4 linked regions of the Pelodiscus sinensis genome follow. The protein of the gene in region 3 interacts with the protein of the main gene of each other region in a pairwise test. Links are inferred from orthologs where the notes say so. Each region holds a gene or a part of one and is shown on either strand. Other genes may lie near its edges. The genes, in order: ARID5A, ROR2, DAZAP2 and UBXN6.

The links.
Region 1: the proteins of DAZAP2 (region 3) and ARID5A interact in binary tests that used the Homo sapiens proteins (3 or more experiments, as listed by UniProt). The two-hybrid records come from large-scale screens. The link is inferred for Pelodiscus sinensis from reciprocal best matches to the Homo sapiens genes DAZAP2 and ARID5A.
Region 2: the proteins of DAZAP2 (region 3) and ROR2 interact in binary tests that used the Homo sapiens proteins (3 or more experiments, as listed by UniProt). The two-hybrid records come from large-scale screens. The link is inferred for Pelodiscus sinensis from reciprocal best matches to the Homo sapiens genes DAZAP2 and ROR2.
Region 4: the proteins of DAZAP2 (region 3) and UBXN6 interact in binary tests that used the Homo sapiens proteins (3 or more experiments, as listed by UniProt). The link is inferred for Pelodiscus sinensis from reciprocal best matches to the Homo sapiens genes DAZAP2 and UBXN6.

The regions. Positions count from the first base shown.
Region 1 is NC_134738.1:5,953,822-5,961,398, reverse strand, and holds the start of ARID5A (AT-rich interactive domain-containing protein 5A), read left to right. Parts: upstream 1-4,086; 5' UTR 4,087-4,240; coding exon 4,241-4,244; intron 4,245-5,096; exon of another isoform or gene 5,097-7,577. UniProt on the Homo sapiens protein: DNA-binding protein that may regulate transcription and act as a repressor by binding to AT-rich stretches in the promoter region of target genes.
Region 2 is NC_134716.1:49,024,940-49,032,827, reverse strand, and holds the start of ROR2 (tyrosine-protein kinase transmembrane receptor ROR2), read left to right. Parts: upstream 1-4,833; 5' UTR 4,834-5,173; coding exon 5,174-5,282; intron 5,283-5,948; exon of another isoform or gene 5,949-6,456; coding exon of another isoform or gene 6,457-6,481; intron 6,482-7,491; exon of another isoform or gene 7,492-7,621; intron 7,622-7,888. UniProt on the Homo sapiens protein: Tyrosine-protein kinase receptor which may be involved in the early formation of the chondrocytes. It seems to be required for cartilage and growth plate development. Phosphorylates YWHAB, leading to induction of osteogenesis and bone formation.
Region 3 is NC_134729.1:2,041,395-2,049,917, reverse strand, and holds the start of DAZAP2 (DAZ-associated protein 2), read left to right. Parts: upstream 1-5,112; 5' UTR 5,113-5,225; coding exon 5,226-5,238; intron 5,239-8,075; coding exon 8,076-8,197; intron 8,198-8,523. UniProt on the Homo sapiens protein: In unstressed cells, promotes SIAH1-mediated polyubiquitination and degradation of the serine/threonine-protein kinase HIPK2, probably by acting as a loading factor that potentiates complex formation between HIPK2 and ubiquitin ligase SIAH1.
Region 4 is NC_134729.1:22,545,932-22,553,520, reverse strand, and holds the start of UBXN6 (UBX domain-containing protein 6), read left to right. Parts: upstream 1-4,146; 5' UTR 4,147-4,221; coding exon 4,222-4,304; intron 4,305-7,589. UniProt on the Homo sapiens protein: May negatively regulate the ATPase activity of VCP, an ATP-driven segregase that associates with different cofactors to control a wide variety of cellular processes.

The sequences.
Region 1 (7,577 bases), on a different chromosome or scaffold from region 3:
GGCTAAATGGTTAACTCTATGTGGCCACATATCCAGTCCTGGGCTTTTCTAGGGTCTGGACTTCACTCATCCTCTTTCTCTGTCTAAATGTAGTGCCCAATCCCACAAAGTACTGGCTGCCTTAAAACCCAGTAATAACAATAGCAATTAAGGTCACACAGCAGGACTGAATTAATAATAAATGGTGGATCCATATAATAAATTGCAGAACCATTATGCTCAGGTGCACTGCCTCACATGAATAATGTGGCCAATCTCAGTCCAACAAAACCTACATCCCACATTACTTATGATATACTATTTAGGTCATCTAGGGACCAGATGTAGAGTAGCATTGAGCTGACACCTCTCCTATAAGCATCATTGGGAGCTTCAAGTGTGTAGCACCACCGAAAATCACACCCCATCTCTTTGGCTCTGTTGCTGTTTCTTGTTCTGTATCTATCTTATCATTTATCTGGGGGATTATTGTAGGAAAGTTTCTTGGAAGGGGTTATTTGAACCAAGAGAAGGAAGTCATAAAAAGCACAAATTACTCACTGTTCCTTATACCACAGCCCTTCCTGTACTGCCCCCTCTCTCTGATCAGTTACAACAATATGTAGTAGAATATTTTTCCAGCCTCCTCCTCCTCTCCTGTGTGCTATTGCACTAAGAGGAGTACAACTCCAGTTTCCTGTTTTTTTCACAGTAATAATCAAAAGAAAGGAAATAACACAACCCTTAAGCTTTTTTCAATAACAGTAACATGACACTAAACAAAATGTGTGAGACATTACAATCATAGCTGGAATGTCCCCAGTCCCCCACCCCGCTTTACCCCTTATCAAAACCTCTTCCAGTTTATTCCTGATTGTGACCCTTCCCTTCACCAGCCTCCACACTTCAAACCTGTGGCTGGCATAAGCAAAGCAGCAATCCCTCTTAGTAGAGACTCAGTTTATACTGGCAAAAAAAAACATCTTGGTGGCATAGTGTATACCAGTTACCTAAGCAAAACATGCTTCAATGCTATAAAACACTTTTTGCCAGTGTAACTGACTATACTAGAGCTTTTGATGGCACAGCAATGTCATGAAAACCCAAATAGTTCTACTGGCAAAACTTTGAAATGGACTAGCCTCTCACCTAGCTACATCATTATGGCTTAGATTTTTTGTATTCTTCAATGCTTTTTTTTTTTTTTTTTTTTTTTTTTTACTGCAGCTACTAGCATTTGAAGGCAATAAGGCCTCTCTGGTGAATTAGTATATTCTTTCAAAATAGAAATTATGGAAGTAATTCAAGATTACTGCAAAACTCCAAAACATTATAGGGTATTTTTGCAATGCTATATCACAGGCTCCAGCAATAAGACCCTCTAGCCCAGGGGTCGGCAACTTTTTCAAACCAAAGAGACAAACTACCTCAAAATTCAGAACTAGTGGTCAACAAAGAGCTGTATAAGAATGCCCATTTTCATGACTGAAAATATACAACTTAATATTATTGATAATTGACATGATGATTAATAACAAATGAAATATTGTACTCCGACTTTTATTTAATGGGACTTCTGCTGCTGCATCTTTTCGCACGTTTCTTTGAAGTTTACATCATCACTGGTGAAATTCAGGGTCATGCATAATTCAAGTTACATGAATAATTATGTGTTCTTAAAATTTTGAATTAATTTTTTATTTTAATTTTAAAAGTTGCATGTATTTTGGGAATGAGAGAAGAGCCATATTTGGTTACATACCGAGCCATATTTGGCTTGAGAGGCATAGGTTGCAGACCCCTGTCCTAGCCCCTCCACTGGCTGTGCCATTTGGCTTAATGGATCTTTTCAACAATTCAGTTTGTCTCCATCCACTGAACCCTTACTTTAAATCTTCCAGTTTTTCAGGGCTAAGTGCTCCTCACTAGTTGCCATTTGAGTGTATAATTCAAAAGCTGGCATTAAATCCCATTCCCCACTGCTGTATATCACTATTTTTATTTTAAATAAAGTCATCTCCACAAGGTATCAGAAGCCAGAGAGAAAAGATCAAATTTATTTACAGAATGTAACACTACCAATGGGCTAGACACACATGGACACAGAAAATGGAGACAGGCTTGAATAGCAACTACCAATGAATATTTGAACCAATATTTCAGAATGGACAGAAATATCAAGCTAAAATAATGCTACATTTTAAACATAGCCATGTCTCAAGGGGATAAACTGAAGGAACTCATTGAAGTCGGTGCACCGGCACTTGTATTGACTTCACTTGTATTGGGCTTTAAAGGAACAGTTCTAAAAAGCCTCTGGTTTTGTAACTGTCTTTAAAACTAGAAATACTGTCCACAGTCTCAACTACTAGCCATGCTCTGGTAGGGACAACTGAGTTTTTGTACTCAGCTCTTCCCTTCAGGCACTGAGTGAGGCTGGGATTTCATTTCTCCAACTAAAGCCACATATTAGCTGGCTTCCGCTTTCTACTACAGATACATCAGGCATATATCCCTGGCTAGTAGGTATGCCGTCAAGGTAACAGTGTCCAGCATGTCCCCACGAAATCGCACAGGTCAGTTTCTCTTTCTCTGAAGTGCGGAACACAGAAGTGCATCTTAGGAGCAGTGTGCTCGGGCTCCCCCCTTGCCTGCGCCTGGTTCACACGCACGTGCCCGGGTTAGCCAGCGCTCCCTTCCCGGACGCGGCTCACGCGTGTGTGCGGGGTGCCTGGCTCACACAGGGGTGCGGGCTCGTCTCTTCCCGGCATCTGGGTCATAGTTGTGTGCGGGTCAGCCCCCCCCCGCACCCGGCTCCCCCCCGGGTCAGCCCGCCGGCCCCCCCCCGCACCCGGCTCCCCCCCGGGTCAGCCCGCCGGCCCCCCCCCGCACCCGGCTCCCCCCCAGGGTCAGCCCGCCGGCCCCCCCCGCACCCGGCTCCCCCCCGGGTCAGCCCGCCGGCCCCCCCCCGCACCCGGCTCCCCCCCGGGTCAGCCCGCCGGCCTCCCCTCCCCGCACCCGGCTCCCCCCCGGGTCAGCCCGCCGGCCTCCCCTCCCCGCACCCGGCTCCCCCCCGGGTCAGCCCGCCGCCCCCCCCCCCGCACCCGGCTCCCCCCCGGGTCAGCCCGCCGCCCCCCCCCCCGCACCCGGCTCCCCCCCGGGTCAGCCCGCCGCCCCCCCCCCCCGCACCCGGCTCCCCCCCGGGTCAGCCCGCCGCCCCCCCCCCCGCACCCGGCTCCCCCCCGGGTCAGCCCGCCGGCCCCCCCCCGCACCCGGCTCCCCCCCGGGTCAGCCCGCCGGCCCCCCCCCGCACCCGGCTCCCCCCCGGGTCAGCCCGCCGCCCCCCCCCCCCGCTCCCGGTTCCCCCCCGGGTCAGCCCGCCGCCCCCCCCCCGCTCCCGGTTCCCCCCCGGGTCAGCCCGCCGCCCCCCCCCGCTCCCGGCTCCCCCCCGGGTCAGCCCGCCGGCTCCCCCCCCCGCACCCGGCTCCCCCAGGGTCAGCCCGCCGGCTCCCCCCCCCGCACCCGGCTCCCCCCCGGGTCAGCCCGCCGGCCCCCCCCCCGCACCCGGCTCCCCCCCGGGTCAGCCCGCCGGCTCCCCCCCCGCACCCGGCTCCCCCCCGGGTCAGCCCGCCGGCCCCCCCCCCGCACCCGGCTCCCCCCCGGGTCAGCCCGCCGGCCCCCCCCCCGCACCCGGCTCCCCCCCGGGTCAGCCCGCCGGCCCCCCCCCGCACCCGGCTCCCCCCCGGGTCAGCCCGCCGGCTCCCCCCCCCGCACCCGGCTCCCCCCCGGGTCAGCCCGCCGGCCCCCCCCCGCACCCGGCTCCCCCCCGGGTCAGCCCGCCGGCTCCCCCCCCCGCACCCGGCTCCCCCCCGGGTCAGCCCGTTCGCCTCCGGGAGTGGCCTGGGCCCGGCCGGCGCGGGAGGGGGGGAGCGGGGCAGCCCCGCAGCTGGCCCGGCCGGGGTCCTGCTCCCTCAGGCGTGGGGGGAGGGGCGAGCCGCGCGCAGCGGGCGGGCGATCGGCGGGAAGGGAGGGGGGGCGGCTCTCTCGCGAACTACAAATCCCAAGGGCCCGCGCGGCGCGGGGCGGGCGCGCTGAACTGACGGCGCCCTTGTCCAATCAGCCGCTGAGCGCCGCCCAATGGGCGCGCGGGGCGGGGCGGGGACAGAGTTGCTGCTTCTCAGCCCGGACACTCCGGAGTCTCGCATGGGCCGGGCGGCGGCGCGGGGGCCGGGCGGGCGCTGAGGCCGCGGCGCTGCGGGCGATGGGTAAGAACCAGCCTTGCCTGGGCTGGGTCGGCAGCGCGTCCCCAGCCGGGAAGCGCGGGGAGGAGGGGAGTTGGGGGGGAGTTGGACTGAGGGGGGGGAGTTGGGGACTGGGGCTGGCGGGGGGGGGAGTTGGACTGAGGGGGGGGAGTTGGGGACTGGGGCTGGCGGGGGGGGAGTTGGGGGGCCGGGGCTGGCGGGGGGGGAGTTGGACTGAGGGGGGGGGAGTTGGGGACTGGGGCTGGCGGGGGGGGGGAGTTGGACTGAGGGGGGGGAGTTGGGGACTGGGGCTGGCGGGGGGGGGAGTTGGACTGAGGGGGGGGAGTTGGGGACTGGGGCTGGCGGGGGGGGGAGTTGGACTGAGGGGGGGGAGTTGGGGACTGGGGCTGGCGGGGGGGGGGAGTTGGACTGAGGGGGGGGAGTTGGGGACTGGGGCGGGCGGGGGGGGAGTTGGACTGAGGGGGGGGAGTTGGGGGGACGGGGGCTGGCGGGGGGGGGAGTTGGACTGAGGGGGGGGGAGTTGGGGGGACGGGGGCTGGCGGGGGGGGAGTTGGACTGAGGGGGGGGGAGTTGGGGGGACGGGGGCTGGCGGGGGGGGAGTTGGACTGAGGGGGGGGAGTTGGGGGGACGGGGGCTGGCGGGGGGGGGAGTTGGACTGAGGGGGGGGGGAGTTGGGGATGGGGGCTGGCGGGGGGGAGTTGGACTGAGGTGGGGGGGAGTTGGGGACGGGGTCTGGCAGTGGGGGGATGGGGCTGGGAGCAGGGGAGAGGGTTGGGGTGAGGTGGGAGGCCAGGACTGGCAGCAGGGGAGTGGGTTGGGGGTAGGGGGAGGAGTTGGAGTGGGAAATGGGGCTGGCAGCAGGAGGCGGGTGCCGTGCCCCATTTGAGGACAGGGAAGTCAGCTTTGGATTCTGGTTACGGTCAAACCTCCGGCGCACTCCCGAGCCCCTGTCCTGCAGCTGGGTTTGGGCTCAGAGAGAGCAGGGGTGCACTTGCTCCCTAGCAGCCCCTTGGAGATGGGAGCCGCAGCTGCCCAGCCCGGTTCGCAGGCTGGTCCCAGAGCCCGGCCGTTAGGCTGCAGATTCTTCAGAAGCAATGAGGAGGGAGGGGGAGTTTTTTCCTTGTCTCAAAAGTTTCTAGCTGCAAGGGGCTTCCCAGTAATTTTTATCTCAAAATGCACTTTTCTTTCTAGTTGGTAAATTTCAGTGCTGTGTTGGGTTCTGGCTTCCCACTTCCTGTTGTGGTTTGTAATCTTTAGCTGTTCTCAGCTAATTTGTTGTGACAGCTGTCAGCAACAGCTTTTTTTTTTCTTTGGTTCCCAGAAGAATCTGGCTGTTTTTCCCCTTCCCCGTCATGGCCTCCAAAGGGTTAAGCTGAGGTATTGTACAGTGTGTACGCAGAATTCTGGTTCCATTGTACGCTGTCATTTCCCGAAAGTGGCTTACTCTTGTGCTTTGAAGATGCTAACGGCCCCTCCTTCCAAGTCAAGAAATGGTTTGACCTTTTCAAGAACACTTTTCAGCTACTACAGCCATGTAGAAGAATGAAACTATTCCCATTTGCCCCATGCTCACGCAAGCACATACATACACACACGTACCAGGGTAGTGTGAACAAGATAAATGTTTAGTAGTGGGGGCAGGGGGAGGGGAGAAGTGACTCTGGAAATTGCAGTTTACTGCTGAGAAGTACAAACATCTACTCTCAGTAGATTTTTCCAAAATACCAGAGGACCTGGCTGTTCCAGATTAGGTTGGAGCTGTTTTTCCTTGGATATTTAGTAAATTGCATTTGTCCACAGTGCATTCTCCTGTTTTCTATGCATTGGAATATGTATGAGATTGAGCATCCCCCTCTCCTCTTAAGTAAGGTTTAGATGAGCTCATGGGTCATTGTCCTCTCTCATTTCTGATTTGTTAGCAAGGTTGGGTGGCCTTTGTTTTAAGATTTTCTTTTTGTGGCAGGGTAATCTCTAGGGTGAAGCCTGGAGAGCAGACTTTTATTTCTTGCTCTGGCCTTGGGTGACTCCTTGCCTCATTCTGTGCCTCAGTTTCCCCACATGTAAAATGGTGTTTTTGGTACTGCTCCATTTTATATGATATGTCGACATCAATCCACTAATGATAGCAGAATAAAGAACTGAGTTGAAGCAGCATGCCCTGCTCTCCTCTCTGGACTGGTGAGAAGAGGGTGATTGGAGCCCCAAATTGTGCAGAAGGGCAGCCCCAAAACAGGCACTTTGCCATACCAGTAAAACTGCAAAGCAAGGCCCAGCATGCAGCTGCCTTGGAAAAAAACAGGTGCTTTGCAGTGCTGCAACCCAGATAAGATGCATCCCAACTGGCATGAAACAAAGAACAGTGTAATTACTGTATCTTCTGGAAAGGGGGAAGGGAGGCAACAACTGCTGAGGTCTGCCTTGGAAGAATGAAGCGGGAGCTGCAAAACTCTGCAGAGCAGAGAGGCAGATTCCTACATGTGGTGTGAGCCAAGCTGTGTTCTCACTCCACCACATGCAACCCCCACAAACCTTGGTCCATCCAGTATAACTGTTAGGAAAACTCTAATTAATGGCATTTTGCTTGCTTTGTAATTAACAAACGCCTGCACTTGTCTCCTTTGTTTGTTGGGAGTTGTGCTCTTGTGTCAGTGAGTGTTCAGGTGTCTGTCCCTTTGTCTCCCTGCCTGTTCTCTGTGCCATGCTGATGAGCTGAGGCAGTTTGGAGGGGACAGACTCTTAGCCTTCCTTCCTCCCCCACAGTGGCTCCTGCCATAAGCCGGGTAAAAGACTCAAGCTGTTCTCTGCTGTTTCCCAAAGTTGTCATCATGTCCAGTAATCCTCTCAGAAGCCGGGCTTGTCTTGGCTGCCTTGCGTGGTGATCTCATGCCCAGAGAACATTAAACCGGCCAGTTTTCTCTCCCCTTTGTACAGTATGTGAAAGCGTTTTATGAGCTCGCTGACCCCGTGGGGCTGAGAATGACACACAGCAAACACGAACTGGAGTAGGCTGAGGGGTTGAGCTTTGGGAACAAATCAGCACTTGTTGTTGTTCAAAAGGCTCAGGAAGGAGAGGTGGATATTTCAGCAGCATCAGGAGACAGACTGATGTGACCTGGTTCTGATCCATCAGCTCTGGTTCCCATCTGCCTCCCTCCCCCCCCCCCCAGCTTGGAAAAGGGGGTTGTTGGAGTAGTCGGTGACCTCAGCCCGGCAGATGTTGCTCGCAGGAGCTGTGGCACCGGCAACAGTGCAGAGTAGGAGGGAGGTTTTGTTTGTTTGTTTCTCTTCCTTTCTTGTTATGTAAACAGAATCTATATTAAGCAGTTATGCAATGTG
Region 2 (7,888 bases), on a different chromosome or scaffold from region 3:
GGGCTGACCCTCTGCACAGGGAAGAATTTCACCCATAGTTTGTTAGGCTGAAGTTTGTAAAGTTCAAAAATATTGCCATTGTCAATGTAGTAAGAAGGTCACATCTTTCTGAGTTTTTACTACCACTAGTGGAGTATTCTGCAAATTTCAACATAAAACTAGAGTTTTGTTTTTGTATATGGTGTATGTTTAAAATATATTAGTACATAATACTGCCATTGTATAAAACTACAAGAATAGAACCATTATTTTGGAGGTCATACATGGTTAGTGGGGGAAGGGGCAGGTTGTGTTTAGGCATGAGGGGCCAAATTCATCTCTAGTGAAACTTCCTTGGTTTAGTTGAATTATGAGGCAGGTACTTGCCAGCTGTTTAATGAAAACTGCAAATGAAGTGTTGGGGGTTGATTCAGCAGCCCTGGGGACAGAGAAGCAATTCTTTCCTGTGCAAGTAGTCTCATTGCCCTCAGTGGGACTAATTACATGAGCATAAAGATCAGGCCCCTAACCAGGCATTGATTTATCATTGAAACTTTATGAACTGAAGCACTAGCCACATCAGAGCTCATAAGCCTCCTTAAAACATAGTTAATATGGGATGAGGACTGTGTTCCCTCTAGTTTTTCCATATATGTGGAATAAATGTTATGTGCACTGAGGTATGTACAGACGTGCACCACCACTAGAAACCCATACAGGCTGCAGGAGGCTGTGGATGTGAAGCTAATCAGCTGGTTGGCATTTGAATCTCTCCTGGGTGGCCACCCAAGCGCTCAGCTTCTAGGGAACACTGTATGTGGTTGTCACATGGTAAATTTTTTTATCAGATTCTCAAATTAGTACCAACTAGCCCCAACTACTGCTTTAAACTTCTTCTATCAGGCACATTTTCAAACCATTTGGTCACGCAAATAAATCCATGTGCAGATCTTTCTTCATCAAATAGCAAGAGAACAGTTTGGGACCATATGCTAAAAACACAAGTGAACTCTCTAATGCTTTAAATTAGTAGGGTGAGCAAACCCAGAAGAAATGTGCAATTGTCTACCATTTTGTGCTTGCTGCACATATTTCTTGCTACACAGAGAAGGAATTTATATTGTGGTTTCTAATGTTTTGGCTCTGCCAATTGATTCTCCCTGAATATGAAGCATGCTTATAAGCGGAATATTATGATACCATGTCTTTGGAATCAAAGAAACCTAGTTGTAGATGCCTATGAAAGAGATCCAAGTGCGTGTTGCATTAACTGGCCAAATTTTACTATGTGAAATGGGAATATTTCATTTTAAGTTTCCATCAGAAATTGATCAATCACTAAATTCAGACTTATTTGGATCCAGGATCTTGTTTCAGGTCCATATTGTAATTACTTTTAGGATGCTGAGGTCCTCAGATGAAAGGCACCGAATTAAATGCAAAGTATTGTTTACTTATGTTATTATTTTATTATTAGGGGAACATGTTCAAAAACCAGTTATACATTCAAAACATTGTGATTTGCTCCTTCACAGTGTATATAAAAAAGAAAGCTCATAAGCATACAATTTAGGGGATTTAAGTGTTATTATAGGCCTTCGGTTGACTGGTTTAACTTATACTGATTTTAAAAATGATTTAGTTAAACCAGTGCAACCTCCTATGTGAACATTCTTAGTTTAAAAGTGGCTTAGTTTAAACTGAATCTTAGTAAATTTAAATTAAACCAAAATAATCCTAGTTTAAACTGAAATAAGAGTGTCTACATAGTATTTTGTACTGGTTTAATAAAACACATTTTTTAGGTAAACTGGTACAATTTTCTTTAGCGGTAGATCAAGAATCTTATGTATTTTCCCCATTGACTGTTTCTTGATAAATTCAGTAACTGTATTATCTATAATTGTTGTCTACAGTACAGAAACTGTAACTAATTCTATAAATTGTAATCTTGGGTGAAGGGAGGAGATTGGCACGTTTGTGGAAAAATCAACTTCTCCTGCAGTAAAACCCAGGGGAAGAGGTTCTATGTAAATAACTCTCAGCTAGGATGCAGTTAGGAAATTTTCCTACATTGTTTTGTCTAACAGTCTTTGAATCAGATTGTGATCTAATTTACACCAGAGTGACTTGATTGGCTTCAGAATCTGTCTCCATGTTACAAGCAAGATGAGCTTTAGTGCAAGACCTGCAGGGGAACAGGAAAAGAAGAAGGTTGCTGCACAATTCTGAATTTTAGAATCTTTTAAGTAACTGAAAGGATAGTTACTTCAACTATATTTTAATTATTTATTTTTGCATGGAAAAGAAAATATTTTTACAATGGAACTTAGTGGACAGTTTTGTTAAGAACACAGGAAACCTTATTCTCCCATGACTGTATTATTTCTACATTACAAAGTAAACAGGAGCAAAAAGTAGTAAAATCTTATTCTCGTTCTGTTGGAAACCCACACCCAGCAAAGGGTGCTTGCTAGTGCATACAAACAAGCAAAGTACAATTCACTAATTAGAAAGTATCTATGTGTAGTTACTTTTCCTGTCCAAGGTGTATAGCCTGACAACATAATATACATTTTAATAATACATGTATTAATTATTAAATAGTTAAATATTATTTAATCAAAATTGTTGTAATAATAATTACATTAAAATAAGATTTTTTTTATAAGAAATATACATTTTCAGAGTAGGCTAGAGAATCTGGATACATATCTTCTTTTTGATTAATGGAAATTACATAAATTACTTTGAAAATCTCAAGAATGATTTTTTTTTATCTTGACAGGGTCCCTTAAATTGTCTCGGCCATATGGGCTGCATAGGTTACCTTTGATGGTAAAAGTTTCCTGAGAATTGCTGGAGGTGGCAACTGAATGAATGTAGTCTTGCCATTACTGGGCCCAATTCAGGAAAGCATCCCTATTCAGAAAAGTGCCTAGCTGCTTTCCTGAAACAAAGCCTCTTTACTTAATGATGATATAGTGTTAGCATTAACCAAACAGTGATCAGAGAGGAAACTATGACTAGTCCAGCCTCATTCCTTTTTCATGATGAGGTGCCACAGAAATTTTGGACCTAGAAATCTTAGAGGCAAAAAACAGGTCAGAAAGATACAAAGAACTGTGTTGATGTGCTTGTCTTTTTTATGGTAAGCAGAAAATTTGGGGCACAATAATATTTTTTGAGAGAAATGTACAGTAATTCCTCATTTAACACTATAGATATGTTTCAGAAAATGATCATGTTAAGTGAAAATGTGTTATGTGGGGTCAATTTTCCCATTGAAAATAATGGAAAAGGTAGGGGTTGCATTTCAAGCGGTGGTGTCTGTTGGGCCCGGGACATAAGGTTGGGGGAGAAAGGGGACTGGGTTACAGCAGGGAGGAAAGATGTTTGGCTCTGGGAAAGGGAAGAGGAGGAGAGGGGAGGGGGATTGGGTTGGGAGTATGTTCTGTTACGGGTCTGCTGGGACCCGCACTGCGTCCGGCGAGGGGGGGGGGGTTGCTGGGGAATGGCATGGCGAGCGGCGAACTCGCTGCTGCTTTGCAGGGAGGCGGGGGAAGCCCCGTGCAGCCGCCGGCAACGGGCTGGCTGGGGAAATTGTGTTATTCCGGGGACGATCGTGTAATTCAAAAAACGTTCTCTAAAAAAGAATCGTGCTATCACAAAAACAGATTAAGCAGCTATGTGTTAAATGAGGAATTACTGTACACTCAGGTTAGAGTTGCCTGTGCTCAGCACTATTAAGCATTAGGCCTTTACGCACAATGCCCATAACAAAGAACAATAATACTGTATTTGTAAGACCTTATATATTTATAGCCTCATAACTGAGACTTCATCACATTTACTTGATTTATTTAAGTAATATCTAGAAATGCTATTTCAGTTGCAAATAATATACCAGGCCTCTACAGTTTATATCACTGAATGAACAAGTTACTCCTTTGCTTTGTACATTACCATTAGGGAATGACTAATATTCAAAGGTCTCCTTGTGCATATGAAATAAAGAAATTTGAGAAAGCAAGAAAACAGTTTAACTAGTGCTCCTGGTATTTATCAGTGACTAATTCTTTACTGTTAACGTGTCTTGCAGCTCTAAGGGAACAAACAGAAATAGTTCCCTGTCCTTAAGGGGTAAAATGAGAAGGTTTACTTTTAACATTACAAATAAAGAGTATCCACTGTGCTTTCAAGGCAGGATCACATTCTCGGTGCGCTCTCGTCTTATCGTGTGTGTTATACAGCTAACGAGGCTGGACATTTCGTTGGAAAGAGTTATGGCTTGTGATCACTTGACACTGCACGGAAGTGAAAAGGCTGCTCTCTCTGCTGCGGGGGAAAAGAGGGGCAATGCCCATCAAGCGGTGTAGTGTTTCTTCCTTCTCGGGGGTTTTTTCTTTCCAAATACTTCTTCGGTATCTCGAAGAATGCTGGAGCTGTTCTCTGCGGGACTCGCTTGTGGCACGGCCTGAACGTGCCTGGTGCCCCGAAACGACCGTCCACTCCAGTCATCCTTGCATCGCAGCCTCTTTTCTCGAGTACCCCTTGAGTCAGCTCCTCCCGCAGAGGCTCTTGTCACCTGAAAGGGGAGTCCCTGCAAATGCAGACTCCTGGCTAGATCGCTGCAGAGCCAGCTAGGCCTGCACCTGATCCAGCCGGCCCAGGCAGCACTAAGCAGGAAAAAGCCCCAGCCGAGAGCCTCGTCTTCCCTCCAAGCTGGCACACGGCGCCCGAAGCCCGGCTCTCCTCCACCCTCCTGGCATTTGCTGGCTTGCCAGCAGAGGGGGTAGCAGCGCAGGGCTTTTCCTCGCCCTCTGCGCCTCGCCGCGCGCGAGCCCCGGGCTTTGCACGCCCCCTGCCCTGCGCGAGGGAGTGAGAGGAGAGATTTCCCCCAGTGACGCTGCGATGCCGGGGGAGGAGGCGGCGGCGCCGAGGCGGGCCCCTGGCTCAGTGCGGGACGGCCCGTTACAGTGAGCGCTGGCTGGGGGGAGCTGCGGAGCGCTGCAGAGAGGAGGTGAAAGCCCGGCCCGGCCCGGACGCAGCCCGCGCTGTCAGCGGGCGCCGCGTGGAAAAGCCCTGGGCGCGGGGCAGCGGCCGCACCACAAAGGGCTCTTTGTGCGCCGCCCGCCTCCCTCCCTCCTTCCCTCCCGAGCGAAGCCGACGCGGAGGGAGCCCCGCGGGCAGCATGGTCCGCACCGGGGCGGCCCGGGGGGCGCGAGCGCAGCGGCGGGACGCGGCGAGCTCCCTGCTCGCCCTGCTGGCGGCTTCCTCGCTCCTGCCCCTCTGTGCAGCAGGTAAGGGGGCTCTGGCGCCACCTTCGTGCTCCCCACTCCCGGGCGCGGGTTGGGCACGAGCGTTATTCGCTGGCTGGCGGGATGCTACTGGGCGGACGTGGGGTGCAGGGTAGCTGTGCAAAGCGCCCCCCGCCGGGGCTGGCGGAGCCCGCTCGGTTGTTTTGTGCGTATTGAAAGATCGGGGGTGGTTGTCGTGGGGGGCGCACTGGAAGCCCGTGGAGGCAGGGGCACTGCCGGGTTTTTTTGGAGGGAGGGGGAAGTTGATGAGAAATCAGCTTTTTGAAGCTTCTCTTCCCGCGATCCATCACCGCCCGTCTCTTCCTCACCCACCAGCTGCTCCTGCAGCTGAGCCGCATCATGTATATGGCCGCAGTGGGTGCCCCGCAGGAAGTTTGTTTGGTTTTGGATGACGGGGGTGGAGGGAGGCGGCAAAGGACGGGGAAGAGTTGTTGCAGTCAGAAGCCCTGATAGGGAGCCCAGGGTAGACCCCCCCCCCCCCCCGCCCCGAGTGGCTATAATAATGTGTTATTACTTGGGCTGTTGAGTTGCCAGCGTCTCGGTGGGGGTGGGGATTAAGGTTGAGTGCGGGGCGGGGGGCGGAGGGCAGCGATGCTTGGCGTTGATGGAGGCTTAATTGAGTCTCCTTCTGTGTGTGTGTTTTTGGAGGGTCCCATTTCCTGTGCGTACCTGGCTGAGCCGCAGAGAGCCGAGGGGGCAGCCCGGGGGAATCGGGAAACGACCGGACTCGGTTCACCGAGCCCTGCGATTGTTTGGAGAGCTGAATAAACTGGCCCTATTAACATCTGACCTCGCGCCGTGGTGGACTGGCTGCGGCTGCTGAAACGCGGCCAGTGTGCCCGGCATCTCCCTTGGCCCACGCCGCCGGGGTTTATAGAGCGCTCTGGGGTCAGAGTTACAGTGCCTGGAAAAGACGCTGCAGCCTTGCGCTGTTTGTTCCCTGCCCGCTCCCGCTCAGCTCAGCTTCGGGGCCCTCCCCTTGAAACAACCGGGAGAGGTTTGGCTTTTCCCTTCCCCTGGGAGGCTGTGGCGTGGGCAGGGGAGCAGGAGCCTCGGGGGTCAGCCCGACACACTTTGATCTCGCTCAAACCCACTCGCTGGAAAATGGACCCCTGCAGCTGATTTTTTTGTTGTTTTGCCTAGCGATCCTGGGGAGATGACGCTCGTCAATTGCACGTCAGGTTTGTAACCGGCCTGGCCCGAGTCAGTTTTGCGACGGGACTTGGTTGGCCGATGACTAGTGAATCTTCTACTCTTTTTAGGAGGCTTTCCCTGCATTGCAGCGGCGTGCACGAGGGACCCGATGGTGTTTTTAAGGAACAACAGTGATGCTGCAGATTAGAGGGGACTTGTTAATCAGTTGCCTGTTTGAAAGGGGTTTTTCTTCCCTTTGTTGGTTTCGCTAATCCATTTACCTCTCCCCGGGAGGTGACAGATGCCTATATTTCCTGTTAGTCAGCTCTGGGGTCTTCGGTCGTGCCATTTGCTGAATTAGCCATGGGGGGGGGGGAGGAGGGCAAGAAAGCTGGAGGGTTTGGGGGGAGGCGGTAAGGTAAGAGGAGAGCGTGTTACATCTCTGGGATCAGTGCCCATTGCCTTTCTTTTCTTGGGGCTTTTATTGCTCCCTTTGAAGGCCCAGGGGGCAGCGCTAACAAATTGCAGCGCCCTGCACTGCTGCCCTGGCTTTCCTGCAGGGAGCTGCAGCCACGGACTCGGTGTATGGGGCAGTAGTTTCACAAGCCCCTAGAGTGCGGAGTGTTAGAAGGTGGCAGATGTTCCCTAGGTGCCCGCCTTTAAAAGCTTCTGCTGTGGAGATGGCGAGCCCTAGGTGTATGGTGTCGTTCCAGCGAGATACCATCCCCCCAGCTCCACCATTTTCTTCTTGTTTCTCAAAGCAGCTGGATCTGTTTTTAGGGGCCAATATGACGGGTGTGCAGGATTTCCAGAGTTTTCTCTACAAGACAGTACACCTACCACCCTCCCTTCCCTTTCGACAAAGTGTCACTAGGCAAAGTCCTAAGGTGCCTCACTTGCTTAATATGATTTTGGTGAGATGATTTCTGCCCTCTTGTAAAACGCTTGAGGTCTTTGACAGTGAAATAGCAAATAAATCACAAAATACTCCAAACATTTGGTTGCCTGTTCACCAAGTCTGCATATTCATTGATTATCTTGCATTCCCGTTTCACTCCTTCCCTTCAAGTGCTGGCAGAAGAACCCACCTCCTCCCCTGCAGATGTCTTTGATGGGTGATCCCTTAAGGATTATTCCCAGGATGTAGTCACATAACGTTTGCTAGTGACACAGCTATGCATAATTGACTGCAAAAACAAAGACAGACAAACAGTCTCAGATGTAAGTTCTCTGCATCTCCTGTGACTAGCAGTTGTCTCTACTGGGAGTTAGTACTGGAATGTCTTTTTTGTGGGGACAAAAAACAATGAGACAAAATATACTAAGGAATCCCTGTAAAATGATATAAACTATGCATACACAGTCTTAATTTTGTTCTGAGATTGTAATGCAATACTAGTTTTCAGAGAGGTAGCTGTGTTAGTTTGTTTCAGCAAAAACAACAAGGAGTTGGG
Region 3 (8,523 bases):
TCGGCAGCCAATCAAAGTATCACTATGGTTCCATCGGCACATCCCACAAATTCTAGCTACGCGAGCACTGTGAGCAAAACTGCCCCATCACAGGAGACCGTCTTGGTTCTGACAATCTTGCGGCCCACTGACATGAAGGAGGGCCGCTCACGCAGCCCAGTCACTAGCCTCAGTTGCCCATCGTTGCTATAGACAAAACAGTCTGGGAGAAGAGATAAGAACTGACTGAATATTTGATATTGAGAGTCCACCTATCCTGGCAGGTTGCAGTTCTTCAGTATGACTACAGATAGTCCCCGACTTACGAACGAGTTACGTACCAAACACTTGGTCACAACTCAATCTGTTCGTAAGTCGGACTCCATTAATTTAAATGTGACCGTGCTGTTCGTAAGCGCAGATCGCGCATTCGTACCTCGGGTTCCAGCTGTAATGTACTCAATGGGAGGTTGGTCATAAGTACGAACGGTTGTAAGTCGACGCATTCGTAACTCAGGGACCACCTGTATAACAAAACCAAACTGGAGGTCTCTCAGTGGCTGTCTGTCTTTCCAGACCACTCTATCCCTTTCAGAAGTCTTGCAAACCCGCAAGCTTCCCCTCACTTAAAAACTACTTGCTTCCAATATCAGTCATAAAAATCCAAGTACAAGAGCCACACTGTTACTGAAAAATAGCTTCTAATTTTTACCTTCTATTTATACATCAATTGGAACATAATATAAATATTGTACTCGTATTTCAGTCTGTAGTAGATACAGCAGTATAAACAAGTCATTTATGAAATTTTAGTTTGTACAGACTTTTCTGGGGCTTTTTATGCAAATAGGCAAATATCTAGATGAGCTGATGAATCCCCTGGAAGACCTCTACATACCCCCAGTGGTACATGCACCCCTGGTTGCAAGCGACTGCCTTATGAAACAGCTGTAGTTATCTGGGACCATTTGAAAGGAACTGTTCTCTTCTGAATCATTTGATTGTTTATTATTTATATTACAGCTCCCCACTGTGCGAGATGCCATATGGACAAGTTACAAAGAATAAATGTCAGAGGAATAGCCACGTTAGTCTGTACCTGGAAAACATAGTGGGACTGAACTGGCCTTGATAACAGTGGTCCTCCACTTGGAGGCTACGTCTACACTGGCATGAATTTCTGAAAATGCTTTTAACGGAAAACTTTTCCGTTAAAAGCATTTTTGGAAAAGCACGTCTAGATTGGCAGGGTGCTTTTCCACAAAAGCACTTTTTGCAGAAAAGCGTCCGTGGCCAATCTAGACGCGGTTTTCCGCAAAAAAGCCCAGATCGCCTTTTTCGCGATCGGGGCTTTTTTGCGGAAAACAGTACTATGCTGTCTACTCTGGCCCTTTTGCGCAAAAGTCTTTTGGAAAAAGACATTTGCCCAAACGGGAGCAGCATAGTTTTTCCGGAAAAGCACTGATGATTTTACATGAGATCGTCAGTGCTTTTCTGGAAATTCAAGCGGCCAGTGTAGACAGTTGGCAAGTTTTTCCGGAAAAGCAGATGATTTTCCGGAAAAACTTGCCAGTCTAGACACAGCCGTAAAGTAACTCCCCTTTTTATATGCTAGAATTATATATTCCTACCTCTGTGATTACTACTCCCTGCAGCAGACAAATTGGTTTTGACCTATGGAAGCTTATGCCCAAATAAATCGGTTAATCTTTAAGGTACCATAATTCCTTGTTGTTTTTAAAAGAATAAATGAACAAATTCCATCAAATGGACATTTTGACTAGCCACTTGCCTAACCCATGGCTTACATGGGATACTTACTCTCAAAACCACTCTGGATTCCATCGACTGTAAAGCCAGAAAGAAGCATTTTGATAATCCAGTCTGAACTCCTCAGGGCAAAGAACCTTACCCAAGAATTTCTGCATCAGGCTCATTCATTCTGTTTTAGCAATAGCAGATCACTGAGCAAGACATCCAATCTTGACAAAAACGGCAAAGGATGTAGAAACTACCCTGTCTCTACGCGAGTTGTTCCAATAATTAATTATCTTGAATTTGCCCGTGTGAGATCACATGGACGCAAGCTGGTTCCAGCCCTTGGTTCCGCAATCACCTTGTAAAGAAGGGGCATGCACGAGGTGGGGTCACCATTCCTGAGCGAGTCCCATGAGGGTATGAAACAGGAGTCTGGGGAATAGTACAGACACCAACTTCCTGTTTTAACACCAAAGAGGATATGTTTTAAAATAACTAACATATCCTAAAGCTCGGGCCAAAATAACTAATAAAGCATTAGCTGGTGCTAATGAACACAATCCACTGCTTGGTGAAATTTAACTCGCCTTAAGGCTTAATTAAATGTAAAAATATTTGGAGGTTATCAGCTATTTCCATTGATCTTTTATGTATGAACTTAGAAACGCTTGCCTTTTCTATGTCCGATTCAGAAGGGAGAAAAAACAAAAAAGGAAGATTACATGGATCCCCCCCCCCAAGTTAGCTCAACTGACTGTTTACAGCTCTTTGCTACTTGAGAGAGCATTAGTCAGTGAGTCTTGCAACAAGCCTGTATCTAGTGGCTGAGCTACAGTCTATTTTTAAAGTCATCCTGTCTTGAAAGACTTCAAGAGATGGAGAATCTGCCTCCACACAAATCAGACATCAGCAATGGTAACACACAATAACCTGTAGGGGAACATTTTAACCTATCTGGTCACTCAATCATGGATTTAAAAATAGCCATTATTCTACAAAGAAATTGCACCAGCCAATTACAGAGAGACACTGTAGAACTGGAATTCATCTACAAATATGACATTGTTAGCCTGGGCTTGAATAAAAACATGATTAATGCACTAGAAAGCCCATCTCCCCTGCCTTTAACATCCCCATTGTCACATCAAAAGATATAAATGGGACACAGGCAGCCCACTTAATTAGCTTAATTAACCCAGGTCCTACAATTGACCGGTGCTTCTTTTGCTGTTATATATATCTTCGATTCTGTTATTGCCACTCCAGCTCATCTGAGGAAGTGGGTTTCACCCACAAAAAGCTTATGATACTGTATATTTTTCTTAGTCTCTAAGATGCCACAGGACAGCTGTTGCTTTTAAAGTTACAGACTAACACAGCTACCCCGCTGTGACTTCCTTTGGGAAGTTACTCCAATGGTAAATTACCCTGTTTCATGTGTGTGCTTTACTGGTGGCCTGAAGAGGCCCAGTTTCAGTTTCTAGCCAGGGGCGCTCGTTATGCTTTTGTCTGCTTGATTAAAGAGCCCTCTGTTATCAAACATCTACCCGCATGTTGGTGCTCACAGAGGGAGAAGGAAGAGCGTCTGGTCTCCTTGGCTGGAAGGAGAGGTGGCTCCCCCCCCAAACCAATACCTGTCAGGGAAACGCAGCGCAGCCAAAGCAGCCCCCCGCTGCCCCTCCCCTCCAGGCCCGGGACAAGCAGCCCCCCCCGCTCCCCCTCCCCTCCAGGCCCGGGACAAGCAGCCCCCCCCCGCTCCCCCTCCCCTCCAGGCCCGGGACAAGCAGCCCCCCCCCGCTCCCCCTCCCCTCCAGGCCCGGGACAAGCAGCCCCCCCCGCTCCCCCTCCCCTCCAGGCCCGGGACAAGCAGCCCCCCCCCGCTCCCCCTCCCCTCCAGGCCCGGGACAAGCAGCCCCCCCCCGCTCCCCCTCCCCTCCAGGCCCGGGACAAGCAGCCCCCCCCGCTCCCCCTCCCCTCCAGGCCCGGGACAAGCAGCCCCCCCCCGCTCCCCCTCCCCCCCCCAGGCCCGGGACAAGCAGCCCCCCCCGCTCCCCCCTCCCCCAGGCCCGGGACAAGCAGCCCCCCCGCTCCCCCTCCCCCCCAGGCCCGGGACAAGCAGCCCCCCCCGCTCCCCCTCCCCCCCAGGCCCGGGACAAGCAGCCCCCCCCGCTCCCCCTGCCCCCCAGGCCCGGGACAAGCAGCCCCCCCGCTCCCCCTCCCCCCCAGGCCCGGGACAAGCAGCCCCCCCCGCTCTCCCTCCCCTCCAGGCCCGGGACAAGCAGCCCCCCCGCTCCCCCTCCCCCCCAGGCCCGGGACAAGCAGCCCCCCGCTCTCCCTCCCCTCCAGGCCCGGGACAAGCAGCCCCCCCCGCTCTCCCTCCCCTCCAGGCCCGGGACAAGCAGCCCCCCCGCTCCCCCTCCCCCCCAGGCCCGGGACAAGCAGCCCCCCCCGCTCTCCCTCCCCTCCAGGCCCGGGACAAGCAGCCCCCCCCGCTCCCCCTCCCCCCCAGGCCCGGGACAAGCAGCCCCCCCGCTCCCCCTCCCCCCCAGGCCCGGGACAAGCAGCCCCCCCGCTCCCCCTCCCCCCCAGGCCCGGGACAAGCAGCCCCCCCCGCTCTCCCTCCCCTCCAGGCCCGGGACAAGCAGCCCCCCCGCTCCCCCTCCCCCCCAGGCCCGGGACAAGCAGCCCCCCCGCTCTCCCTCCCCTCCAGGCCCGGGACAAGCAGCCCCCCCGCTCCCCCTCCCCCCCCGGCCCGGGACAAGCAGCCCCCCCCGCTCCCCCTCCCCTCCAGGCCCGGGACAAGCAGCCCCCGCTCCCCCTCCCCTCCAGGCCCGGGACAAGCAGCCCCCCCCGCTCCCCCTCCCCTCCAGGCCCGGGACAAGCAGCCCCCCCGCTCCCCCTCCCCCCCAGGCCCGGGACAAGCAGCCCCCCCCGCTCCCCCTCCCCTCCAGGCCCGGGACAAGCAGCCCCCCCCGCTCCCCCTCCCCTCCAGGCCCGGGACAAGCAGCCCCCCCGCTCCCCCTCCCCCCCAGGCCCGGGACAAGCAGCCCCCCCCGCTCCCCCTCCCCTCCAGGCCCGGGACAAGCAGCCCCCCCCCGCTCCCCCTCCCCCCCCGGCCCGGGACAAGCAGCCCCCCCCGCTCCCCCTCCCCTCCAGGCCCGGGACAAGCAGCCCCCCCGCTCCCCCTCCCCCCCCGGCCCGGGACAAGCAGCCCCCCCGCTCCCCCTCCCCCTCCAGGCCCGGGACAAGCAGCCCGCTCCCCAGGTGGGGGCGGGACTCGCCGTTTGGAACGGGGGGGGCGGGGCGAGCATTACGCAACCCCGCTCGCCCGCGTAGGCCACGCCCCCATGACCTCTCCCCTCGCGCCGTGACGTCAGGACGCCGCGCACACGCCGACGTCGGCCGCCCCTCCCCCCACCCGTCGCAGCGCCGCAGTGACAATAACAAGGAAGTGCGCGGAGCGAGCGGAGCCACCGCCCGAGCGAGCCATGAACGGAAAAGGCAAGAGGGGGGGGAGGGGTCAGCCCCGTAGCGAGGGGTCAGCCTTGTGGGGGGGGGGGGGAAGGGGTCAGCCCCGTAGCGAGGGGTCAGCCTTGTGGGGGAGGGGTCAGCCCCGTAGCGAGGGGTCAGCCTTGTGGGGGGGGAGGGGTCAGCCCCATAGGGAGGGGTCAGCCTTGGGGGGGAGGGGTCAGCCCCATAGCAAGGGGTCAGCCTTGTGGGGGGGGAGGGGTCAGCCCCATAGCAAGGGGTCAGCCTTGGGGGGGGAGGGGCGAGGGGTCAGCCCCATAGCAAGGGGTCAGCCTTGGGGGGGGGGAAGGGCGAGGGGTCAGCCCCATAGCAAGGGGTCAGCCTTGGGGGGGGAGGGGCGAGGGGTCAGCCCCATAGCAAGGGGTCAGCCTTGGGGGGGGAAGGGCGAGGGGTCAGCCCCATAGCAGGGGGTCAGCCTTGGGGGGGGAAGGGCGAGGGGTCAGCCCCATAGCAAGGGGTCAGCCTTGGGGGGGGGAAGGGCGAGGGGTCAGCCCCATAGCAAGGGGTCAGCCTCTTGGGGGAGGGGGGGCAGCCTTGTGGGGGGGGAGGGCTCAGCCCTATGGTGAGGGGTTAGCCTCTTGGGGGAGACAGGGGTGGGGTGTGAGGAAGGGGTCTGTGCCGTGGGAGAGGGGTCAGCCCCATGGAATAAGGGGTCAACTTCACAGGGAGGAGGGGAAGGGGTGCGTGGAGGGGTCATCCCTATGGGGGAGGCAGGGGAAGGGGTCACTGCATAGGGGAGGAGTCAGCTCCTTGGGGGCAGTAGTTCTGCAGGTGGGGGTGGGTTTTTGGGGGGAAGGGGGGATGCTTGTAGCAGCGCGTGTAGCTGCAGGAGACTGTTGTCATGGGTCACGATAAGGCAGCTAGAAGGGCACAAGGGAATGGTGGGGCAAGAGGGTGAGGGTGGTGACTCCTTGTTGCCTTGAAGAAACAGGGAGCCCCAGGCATTCTTGGGAGGCTTGTACGTAACAGTTAATGCAGCCGTTCAGTGCGTGAACCTGGATTTGCTGAGAATCCCTAAACTGTGTCACGGGGTCTCTCCCTCGCCTGTTTCCCGTAAGAGAGCTGCTCTGTCTGCAGGATTGCGCTATGCCCCAGCAGCACCTTGGAGAGGGGAGTGATAGTCGTGGAGGAGGCCATCAGGGTAGTGGTGGGGTCTGTGACATTGAGGAGCTGTGCTTGAGGGGTTAATACACATTTGTACAACTCCCGTTGATTGTGTTTATTATTTGCCTTGGGTAGTATGAGCTGCCGGCCTTTCGAGAGGTATTAAGATCTTTTAATCACTTCAGGAATCTTGGTCACTTGCGATCAGCAAAGCTGCTTCTTTTCTCTTAATTTTCCTCGGGGCAGTGGCTCCCTCTAGTTTTGGGTGCTCTCATGTTCATGGCAATGAGCCTCTTATAAAAGCATGACTAGAATTCAAGTTTACCCTGCAAGATCACTGTGTTCCCCTCCACTCCTTTTTTTTGTTCAAGGCTGTGTTTTGAATCTGTACTGATCATAGAAACATTGATATTGGCCTTTGGTTTGGTAGAGCTTTACAAGAACACAGCTTTGACCTGACAGTGACACATGAAAGCATCACCTCCTGGATGGTGACACATTAAAGCAACGCCTCCTTGCTATTGCTGGCTATGTTCAGAGCAGCTGAAAAAACACATAGAAATTATTTATTTTAAACACGATAGTGGCCTGATGAGAGAAACTGACTGTAGAGCCAGCTGCAGTAAGGATTAATAGATCACTTCAGAATTTTACCAAGATGTTAAGCAGGGCTTCTTATTGGCCTTGACTTGAAGAGCAATGCTACCATACAGTTAAAACAAAAAACAGGACTATGTATCACTTTAAAGACTAACAAGATGGTTTATTAGGTGATGAGCTTTCACGGGCCAGACCCACTTCCTCAGATCAAATAGTGGAAGAAAATTGTCACAACCATATATACCAAAGGATACAATTAAAATTGTATCTGGCCCACAAAAGCTCATCACCTAATAAACCATCTTGTTAGTCTTTAAAGTGCTACATAGTCCTGTTTTCTGTTTCAGCTACACCAGACTAACGGCTACATTTCTATCACCCTACAGTTACTTATTCTTGATGCGTTAAGATGCATGCCATTTTAATGCAATGTAATCTTTTGCATAAATTAATAAATGGGTAAGAAAGAATAGTGTGTGTGTGTGTGTGGGGGAGAGCTTGGGTTAGGGAAAAGATCTGCTCTTATTTGGGGGACTATATTTATTTCTTGCTGCAATCTATGATATCCCTTTTGTTCTCTCTCTCTCTCGGTACACAGATTAACCATGTTAAGTTGTAAAACATTAAGTTCATTAACATATGCTCTTTGAAAATAGCACGTGTGACAGCCTATCAAGAACTTCAAATGATAAAGGGTCTAGTATTGTTGATGTCCCAGTAGTTGGCGTAGTTCTGTGGCACAGAGTCAAAACTTTGTGACTTGCAAGTCTGAGCAGAGAAATGCCTAATTCTAAATAGGGTGGTTTGTCAGCAGCTCTGCACATGAAGGTGTTTGTTTTTCATAGTGGCCTAGTTCTTTTAAAGGATTTTAACAGTACAGAAATTAGTTTTTGCTTTTAGTTCCAATCAGACTACGCGTACCGAGTGGACTTTATTTTGTACCTTCCTTCTTGTGCACTCAGCCAATATTTGTACATAACAAGAGGCAATTTCAATGAATCTATCAAGGATCTATAAAGGAGGGGGCTTTCCATCAGCTCATCTTCTGTCCCATTTCCATAATGGCAGCTCCGTTAACGCTGGCCAAATTCTCTTCTGCCTCTTAGGTCAATATCCGACGCAGCCATCCTACCCAGTGCAACCTCCTGGTAATCCTTCTGTGTACCCACAGACCATGCCTCTTCCTCAGGCACCACCATATACCGATGCACCTCCTGCTTACTCTGAGGTATGCCGTATGTCCTGTCTTTATTTGTGCTCCACACCCAAAAAGTAAACTTGGTTACATATGAATTCGTAATACTGGCACTCCCCGTGTTTCAAACATCTGACTTCTGAACATCCATAACTACAAACAAAAGCTCACCTGCAGCCTCAGGGGAGCAGGTGAGAGGCACAGGTGAAGGGGTGGCTGGAGGACTAGGGGGCGGTTACGTAGATAGTGGCTGGAGAGCAGTGGCATTTGAAGGGAAAACCGCCTCTTCTCTCTAACTACTGTCTGGACAGTTGCCCCCTGCTCCTCCAGTGTTCTCTGGCCCATTCTTGTGCCTCTTG
Region 4 (7,589 bases), about 21 Mb from region 3:
CTAATAACAATAGTTAATACTTAAAGTGAAACAAAACAAAAAGCTAGTGAATCGAAACACAGGATCTACAAGCGTTACAACACTGTCAATAAGCCGCTACAAAACTTAATTATAGAAATTAATCACACCGCTCAAAATAATCATTTTGGCAAGGTTTGGATTTGAATATTCCTCTGCCATGTCTGCAACCCAAATATAATGGCATCGGACTAATACATGAGAACCAGAAAGTGAAACTAAGTAATTTATTTTCCAAGCACAAGCTGAATAGAGTGAAAAAAAAGCATTTGTAAACTATTTTAAATATTGATTGGGACAGATTCTGGCACTCAGGGCTTGTCTTCACATATGGTGCTACAGCAGCATGACGGCACCAGTGAGGCATGCAGAGCCCGTGCTGTCCACTGGATGGTTTGGGGAGGTTGCCCCAGGTCTCATGCTTTGGGGGCCTCCGGTTTAGGAGGACTCAGGCCCAGCAGCAGACAAACTCAGCACTTCTATCATTCAGGCCTTGTAGAGATGCTTTCCTGAATCAGGGTCTGTGGGCTGAATCTTGCACCTATTGAAATTGTTGAAAGGTTTCAGTTGACTTCAGTGGAAAGTAGCGTAAGGGTCTGAGCACACAAGCTGCGGAGCAGAAGCAGAGGCAGGAAGAGCTGGAATCGGGGCAAGCCTGGGGTGGGGGTTGCCCTAGGCTCCACACTCCCTTGGGATGGCCCTACTGCCATGCCACTGTAGCACTTGAATGAAGATGGCCCTAAGCCAACAGGAATGTTTCTCATGTCAGCTCCTGTGGCTTTTTCCACATTCTTGACAGACTTAGTTATAGTGATAATAGGGCTATATAGTGTAGATGTGGCCTTAGTGACAACACAACTTTCAAAGGGAAGTTACAATAATGTAACCAAGACTGAATTTGTCCTTTCCAGTTTTAATATACCCAGATAATGGCATTAAAATGCCTATAAGGGAATTTCCTTCTTTTACAGGTTCTGCACAGTTATACTGATATAAACTCAGAGTTACTCCACTGAAGCCAGTTAAGTTTATATTAATGGAACCAAGAGTAGAATCTAGTCCTATCTGTTTTGTACTTAACAGTTTCCTTTTAATTACGAAGTACAGTAGTAGAACATGTCTTTGTAAATCTGTCTTTCATTGTGTAATGCTGCAAAAGGAATAGAAAGCACTGACAGAAATTGGGCCTTGTCTACACACAAAGTTGCACTAGTTTATTTAAAGGTATATTTTTAAATCTATTTAGTTTAAACCAGTGTGAAATTTTTAAAACTAGTTTGTTCTGCTTTAGCTAAGGTTGATGCCAAGTTGATTTAAGATAAATTGATGCAGGTCAGGATTAAGCAGCTTCAAGAAGATCCACGCAGAAGTTTGCACTAATTTAACTAAATTGATTTTAAAACTAATTTTAGTTAAACTGGTGTGATTTTTACATGAAGCTCTTAGAAACAGCAAGCCAAATTAAATAGCCATATGAAAGCTGTTGAAAGTTGACATGAGGTGTCAACAAAAACAAGCATGTGTGTGTATGACTTAAGTCATATCTAAATTAGCATTTATGACCATAAAATGTTTGTCATTCCGATTTGTGAAAAAAACAGGACCTTAAGTGACATAAGTTTTGCCATAGGTACCAAATTCTCTTCTAGCTGAGGGGGGAATGATCTTCTACTCCAGTGGTCCCCAACGTGGTGCCCGCAGGTGCCATGGCGCCCGCTGGGCCATTTCTGTGTGCCCGCTGAGTGATCAGGGCCGGCCCTGCCCCCGGGCGTGTGGCACATGGGCGGTGCTGGCCCCTGGGCATGCAGCATATGGGCATCCCCGCCCCCGGGTGCACGGCGCAAGGGCTGTGCCGCCCCTAGGTGCGCAGCGTATGGGTGTCCCCGCCCCTGGGCGTCCCCGCCTCTGGGCATGCAGCACAGGAGCGGCGCTGGCCCCGGGTGCGTGGCATATGGGCAGCCCCAGCCCTGGGCATGCAACACAGGAGCAGCACTGGCCCCAGTGCCCGTCAGCCCCAAAAGGTTGGGGACCACTATCTACTCTACCCCTACCCTTCCTTTTCCCCAAGGCACTGCCTCCTCTCCTCTTGCAACCCTCCCCCTGCTCTACTCTCTCTCATTTGGTCCCCTCCTTCAAGTGCATCCCATCCCTGTTCCTTCCCCTTCCTCTCAGCGCCTCCTGCATGCTGGGAAACAGTGGGTGAGAGGTGTTTGGAGGGAGGGGGGCACTTGATCAGTGGGGCAGCCAGCAAGCAAGAGGCTTGGGGGAAGGGGAAGGCAGAGGAGAGATGAGAAGGGAGTTTGGCGGTGGGTGCTGAGCACCTGTTAATTTTTCTACAGCCCTGGTGGACCCATGGAGTCAGTGTGTATGAGTCTTGCTGGCACAAGTGCTAATGTGCTCAATGCTGTGTTGGTGGGAGGGGTTCTAAGCTGTGCCAAAGCTTGTAAGTGCATCTACAGCCTTCAGTGACAACTTGTCTAAACTAGCTGAATGTGGCAGTGAGGAGCATGGATTTACACAATGAAAACATCCACACCCTTGACTTAAAATATATTTACATAGCAATGCCCTCCCTGAGAAAGGATGAGTGAAAGAAAACCTCAGATGTTAATCATGTTGCTTAATGCATGACTGGAAGGCACTGAAATACTGAGGTGATGGGGGGGAAGAGTGAATCAAGAACCTGCATAAAGTAGACTAGAATAGCATCTAAAAGCAAGTTAGGAGCTTTGCAGAGCAAATTAAATGACAAAGGACCCTGTTCAGATGTTACCTGATGATCTAGGGTCCTGACCCTGCAATCATATGGTGAGTGAATGTGTGTTACAGATTCTCCTGTGCTGAGGATATAAGCTGCTTATAGCCTCTGGCTACAGTCTTGGCTCTTTACTTCAAGTTGTGGCAGCTTGTGCTTTTAGCTCTGGATGTTCCTGGTAGGCCAGCTAAGATGGTCATTGAGACACATGAGTAACTTTAGTGCCATTGTGCGAACAATGCTAATGAGGCTGCTCATGTGAGTAAAGGTTGCTGTAATAATGGGACAGCAGGGGGAACCAGGAGAAAAGGTGAAGAGAGCTGGGTGTGAAAGTAGGGGGTAGACAGTGGTGGGGGAGGGCTGTAGGTAGGCAAAGGGTTGTGGGGGTACATGGTGTGGGGAGCTGAGTGCCAAAAGGGGGCAGTGGGTGCCAGTGTGAAGGCAGGAGAAGCACAATGTATGAAGGCTTGGGTTTGGGGGGCTGGGGTCAGGGGGAATGCAGTGTGGTGCTGGGGGTAGGTTGGTCATGAGTATGCCCTCCCATTCCTTAAGGCCGTGGCTCTCAGCCTTACCCTTTGCAAATCTTAGCTGAGGCTGCAGACCCCCCTCGGTCTGCGGAACCCTGGCTGAAAATCGCTGCTGTAAGGGACCATTCCTGGTCACCGTTCCCTTCTTTTAAGATGCACTGAAATATATTAAATAAGAAGAAGTCTTTGAGTTTTAGGCAGGAAGGTTGAAGCCTGTGAGCATTGCACTGTATCCAGGAGGGGACCAGAAATGGACATGGCTGAAATAGACGGCAGGCTACACCAAGAGGGGGTTCCCCGAAATGCCCCTTCAAACGCAGCAGTGTCCCTCACCTGTCCTGTCCCTGTATCCCCCCCCCCCAAGCTGGTCACCCCAGCTGGGGGCAAAGGCTGGGCACGTGTGGCGCTAAGGTTGGGGGAAGGGTCGGGGGCCTGGTATAGGAAGAAGGGGGGGACACACATGTGGGGCTGGGGGGAGGGGTGGGAGGGAAGGAATGGGGGAGGGGATAGGAAGAGCAATGGGGGGGAGAGGCACGTGCGGCGCTGAGGCTGGGGGGAGGGGTGGGGGAGGGGCAGGGCCAGTGCTCGAGGTAAAGCGAGGTCAGACCCGCCGCTGGCGCTTGGCGGACCTCACGCACCATAGAGAGGCGGGGGGGAGGCCTAGAGCGCCCCTGCCGGGCTCGTCACACAAGGAGGCGCGTGAGGTGCCTGAAGGGCGCAGGCGCCAGGCTCTGGCCCCGCCCCCCGCCGCTTCCCGCCCGTTCCAAGAGGCCGATGGCCGCTCGGTAAGTCACGTGCCCGCAGCGGGAGGCGGGGCTTCCTGTTTCCGGTGGCTGAGAGGAAGGGGGCTCCGCAGGTGTTTTGTTGTGCGGGGCCGGCCCGTCTCTCCCCGCCCCCCTCCCCCCCCGCGCCGCCGCCATCATGCGGAAATTCTTCCAGGACATCAAAGCGGACATGAAATTCAAAACCGCGGGGCCGGGCCAAAAGCTGGCGGAGCAGCCCAGGTAGTGGGGGAGGGGCGGCTGGGGGGGGAGGAGTGAGGGGGGGAGCGTTGGGTGGGTGGTGGGGGGGAGGAGTGAGGGGGGGGAGCGTTGGGTGGGTGGTGGGGGGGGAGGAGTGAGGGGGGGGAGCGTTGGGTGGGTGGTGGGGGGGGAGGAGTGGGGGGGGAGCGTTGGGTGGGTGGTGGGGGGAGGTGCCTGCTCCACTGTGAGTTGGGCTGGGTGATGCTGTTGGTGGCAACGAGGGATCCAGCCCCAGGACTCCCATCTCCTCCGTGGTGCTTCTCCGCTTCTGGATCCCAAACCGCCTTTCTGCCATTAACCCCTGCCCAAGGCTGCGGTCGAGTAACAGAGTCTGTGGCGTGGGGCCTGGGCTGCACGGGGGGGACACGTGAGACGGGTTCGGGTCCCAGCTCCCTGCTGGCTGGTCTGTTCCTCCTGGGACCTGGGTTCAGATCCCAGCTGCCTGGGCTGGACCCTCTTCTCATCTCCCCTCCGCCCGAGTTCGGTTCTCTTAGCCCCCAAACCGCTTACGCTGTTGGCTCTTCTCATTCCTGAGGTTGTTTTTTTTTTTTTTTCAGACGACCCCTCCCCCCGCCCCGGCTGTTCCCTTCTCCCCGCTTCCCCATCTCTTATCCCCCCACTCCACTTCTTCAGACTCAAGTTCAGATCTCTGCTCCTTCCCCACTTGTGCTGTTCCTTTCTCTCCCAGCTTCTCTCCCCCACACCCAGGTTCGGCACCCACATTTACTTCCACCCAGGTTGTATCCTGGTGACTCTAAACTATCCGACCCTTTGTGGTATCCTGTTTAACCAGTTAACCAATTCAGTGGATTTTTCTGTAATCTGCATCCCCAGTCTTCATCCCCTTTTCCCAATTGACTGTGCATGGCTAGCCAAGTACAAAAGCAGTTTCTCCTCTCTTGGTCTTCACACCTCCACATCAGCTGCTAGAAGTGGGCCTCATCCTTTCTGACTGAATTTACCTCTTTCTCTCTAGCCTTACTCTTGATTGGTACTCTTTTCTTATGCCTGTATATTTATACCTGCCTCTGGAATTTCTACTACATGCATCTGACGAAAGCCCATGAAAGCTTTTGCTCCAATAAATCTGTTAGTCTGTAAGGTGCCATAGGACTCCTCATTGCTTTCCCAGGAGCTTCCTTGGTTCCCTCTTGCTCTACTCCTCCAAAATGTGTCAAGCTCTGGGATCCTCTGCGCTAGGCGCTGCAGACCAGGCCTACTGTAGGTTTGGAGGACTGAGGACTTTTGCAGTAGGGTACAGCATACACCACCAGAGGAACAACTTTATTTTCCTTGTATCACTTTTAGCTTTAGACTCAAAAACACACTTCCACTAAATAGAAAAAAAAATACTGTAGCTCTGAAGAAGTGTTTACCTGATTCAGGTATCTGAGTCAGAGCTCCTGACTCTTTTGGCACAAACAGGCTTTTACTCCTGTTTGCTGTACCAGCTCCTGCCAAGCCAAGAGCTGATTGTTCCCTGAAGCTGCACTGGGTCCACATCTGACCACAGAATTGCTATTCTTGTGGCTGATTTTCAGATACCAAAGTAAGTTTGGGGAAATGATGCTAATCGAAAAATCATTTGACTTGTAAAGGAACAGGATTGGAGGCAGTTAAGACAAATACAGAACCTCACCATGTTGTGGGATAGTCACCTTCCTGAATATCATTGTCCTGCAGCTGTTTATGAAATATGGCAGCTGAGTGAACGTAGAATAACCATACTGGGAATTAAAATCACAAGGGTGTGTGGTGTTGACTGTTTTAAGGCCTAATATGTTGAGAACAATCAAAGATGAAAAGGATTGCTTTGTATTATATAAATTCTTGGAATCCCAAACTCCACTGGTTCAGGTGACAGTGGCTGGTAAAATTTCCTTGAAGACAAACCCCTTGCCTGTAGAAAGCAAAGGTGCAATCAGAATGAAGCAGTTTATAGGCTTACTGTCACAAGGTCTGTCTGGGCTACAAAACAATATTGATGAACTAGGTCATGTTTTCAGGTTCAGTAAATGTTTCAAAATAAGTTTAAGACATTAGGCCAATACATGGATTAGTAATGGTGAAAGTGCATCTAGACTGGAATTTAACTGTTCGGTGACCTGACCTAGTCAGTGTTGCACTATGTATTCTCACTTTCTATATTATTTGTTTAGTTTCTATGTGAATTTCATATGCTTGATCTCAGCCCTGCTGCACTATTCAAATACACACTCAAAGAAGGCCAGAGTCCCCAGTTCCATCCTAAATCCTGAAGGAAACTGCTAAAACATTAGTTTAATAACAGAACTTTTCAATAACAATATTTCTTAAAAGTTGCAAGAGATTTGTAGTTGAGATCATCTATTGAATCCAATTTTCTGTGGCTTTCAGGGACAATGAAAGTTGTGATTGGTCCTGTCTTGGGCAGGGGGCTGGACTTGAAGACCTCCTGAGGTCTCTTCCAGCTCTATGATCCTATGAATCCAGTTGTATTTATTGCTCCAAACTTTGGGCGCACAGGCTTGACAAACTGCTTCACGGTCACTGAGCAGTAATGCTACCTAGCAAGGGCATCAGGTTTTTTTGTGACCTTATAAAGCTATGATGTCACTGAGCATCTACAGTTGCTTCCCGATCAAGCCTGTTCTTGGTGCTGTTCTGTGTAGTGCTCTTTGAAATTATACTCTGGTGAGGGTGGATGTTTTGCAGAGCAGCTGGAAACATTAAATTCTGTTTTCTGCTAGCAGCACACATTCTCCATTCCTAAATGTATCCATGTTTTGTAGTGGGTGCAGTCTTCAGGACTTTCCTGCTTGCATGTTGCGTATAAGCCTTTGATACACAACGGCCTTCTTGTTCTTATGGAGGAAGAGTATCTTGGAAAAATGGGTCCATCTCTCAGGGTATGCCTACACAGCAGGGCTAAAGTTGAATTAAGCTACACTACTTCAGCTACGTCAGTTGGAGCTACATCATAGAGGTTGAGAATGGTGTCCCTAGCTGCTGGTTGTCTGGAAATGGGTGACAGGAGAGGGATCGTGTGAGGATTACCTGTTGTGTTCCCTTCCTCTGGGACAACTGGTATTGGCCACTGTCGGCAGACAGGATACTGGGCTAGATGGACCCTTGGTCTGACCCAGTATGGCCATTCTTATGTTCTTAAGTCAAAATAGCTTAATTCAGCTTTTGGTGCTGTCTACACAGCAGGAAGTCAAAGGAAGAACACTCTTTCTTTGCCTTCCCGTACCCCTTGTGAAATGAAGGTTACCAGGAGTCAGAGTA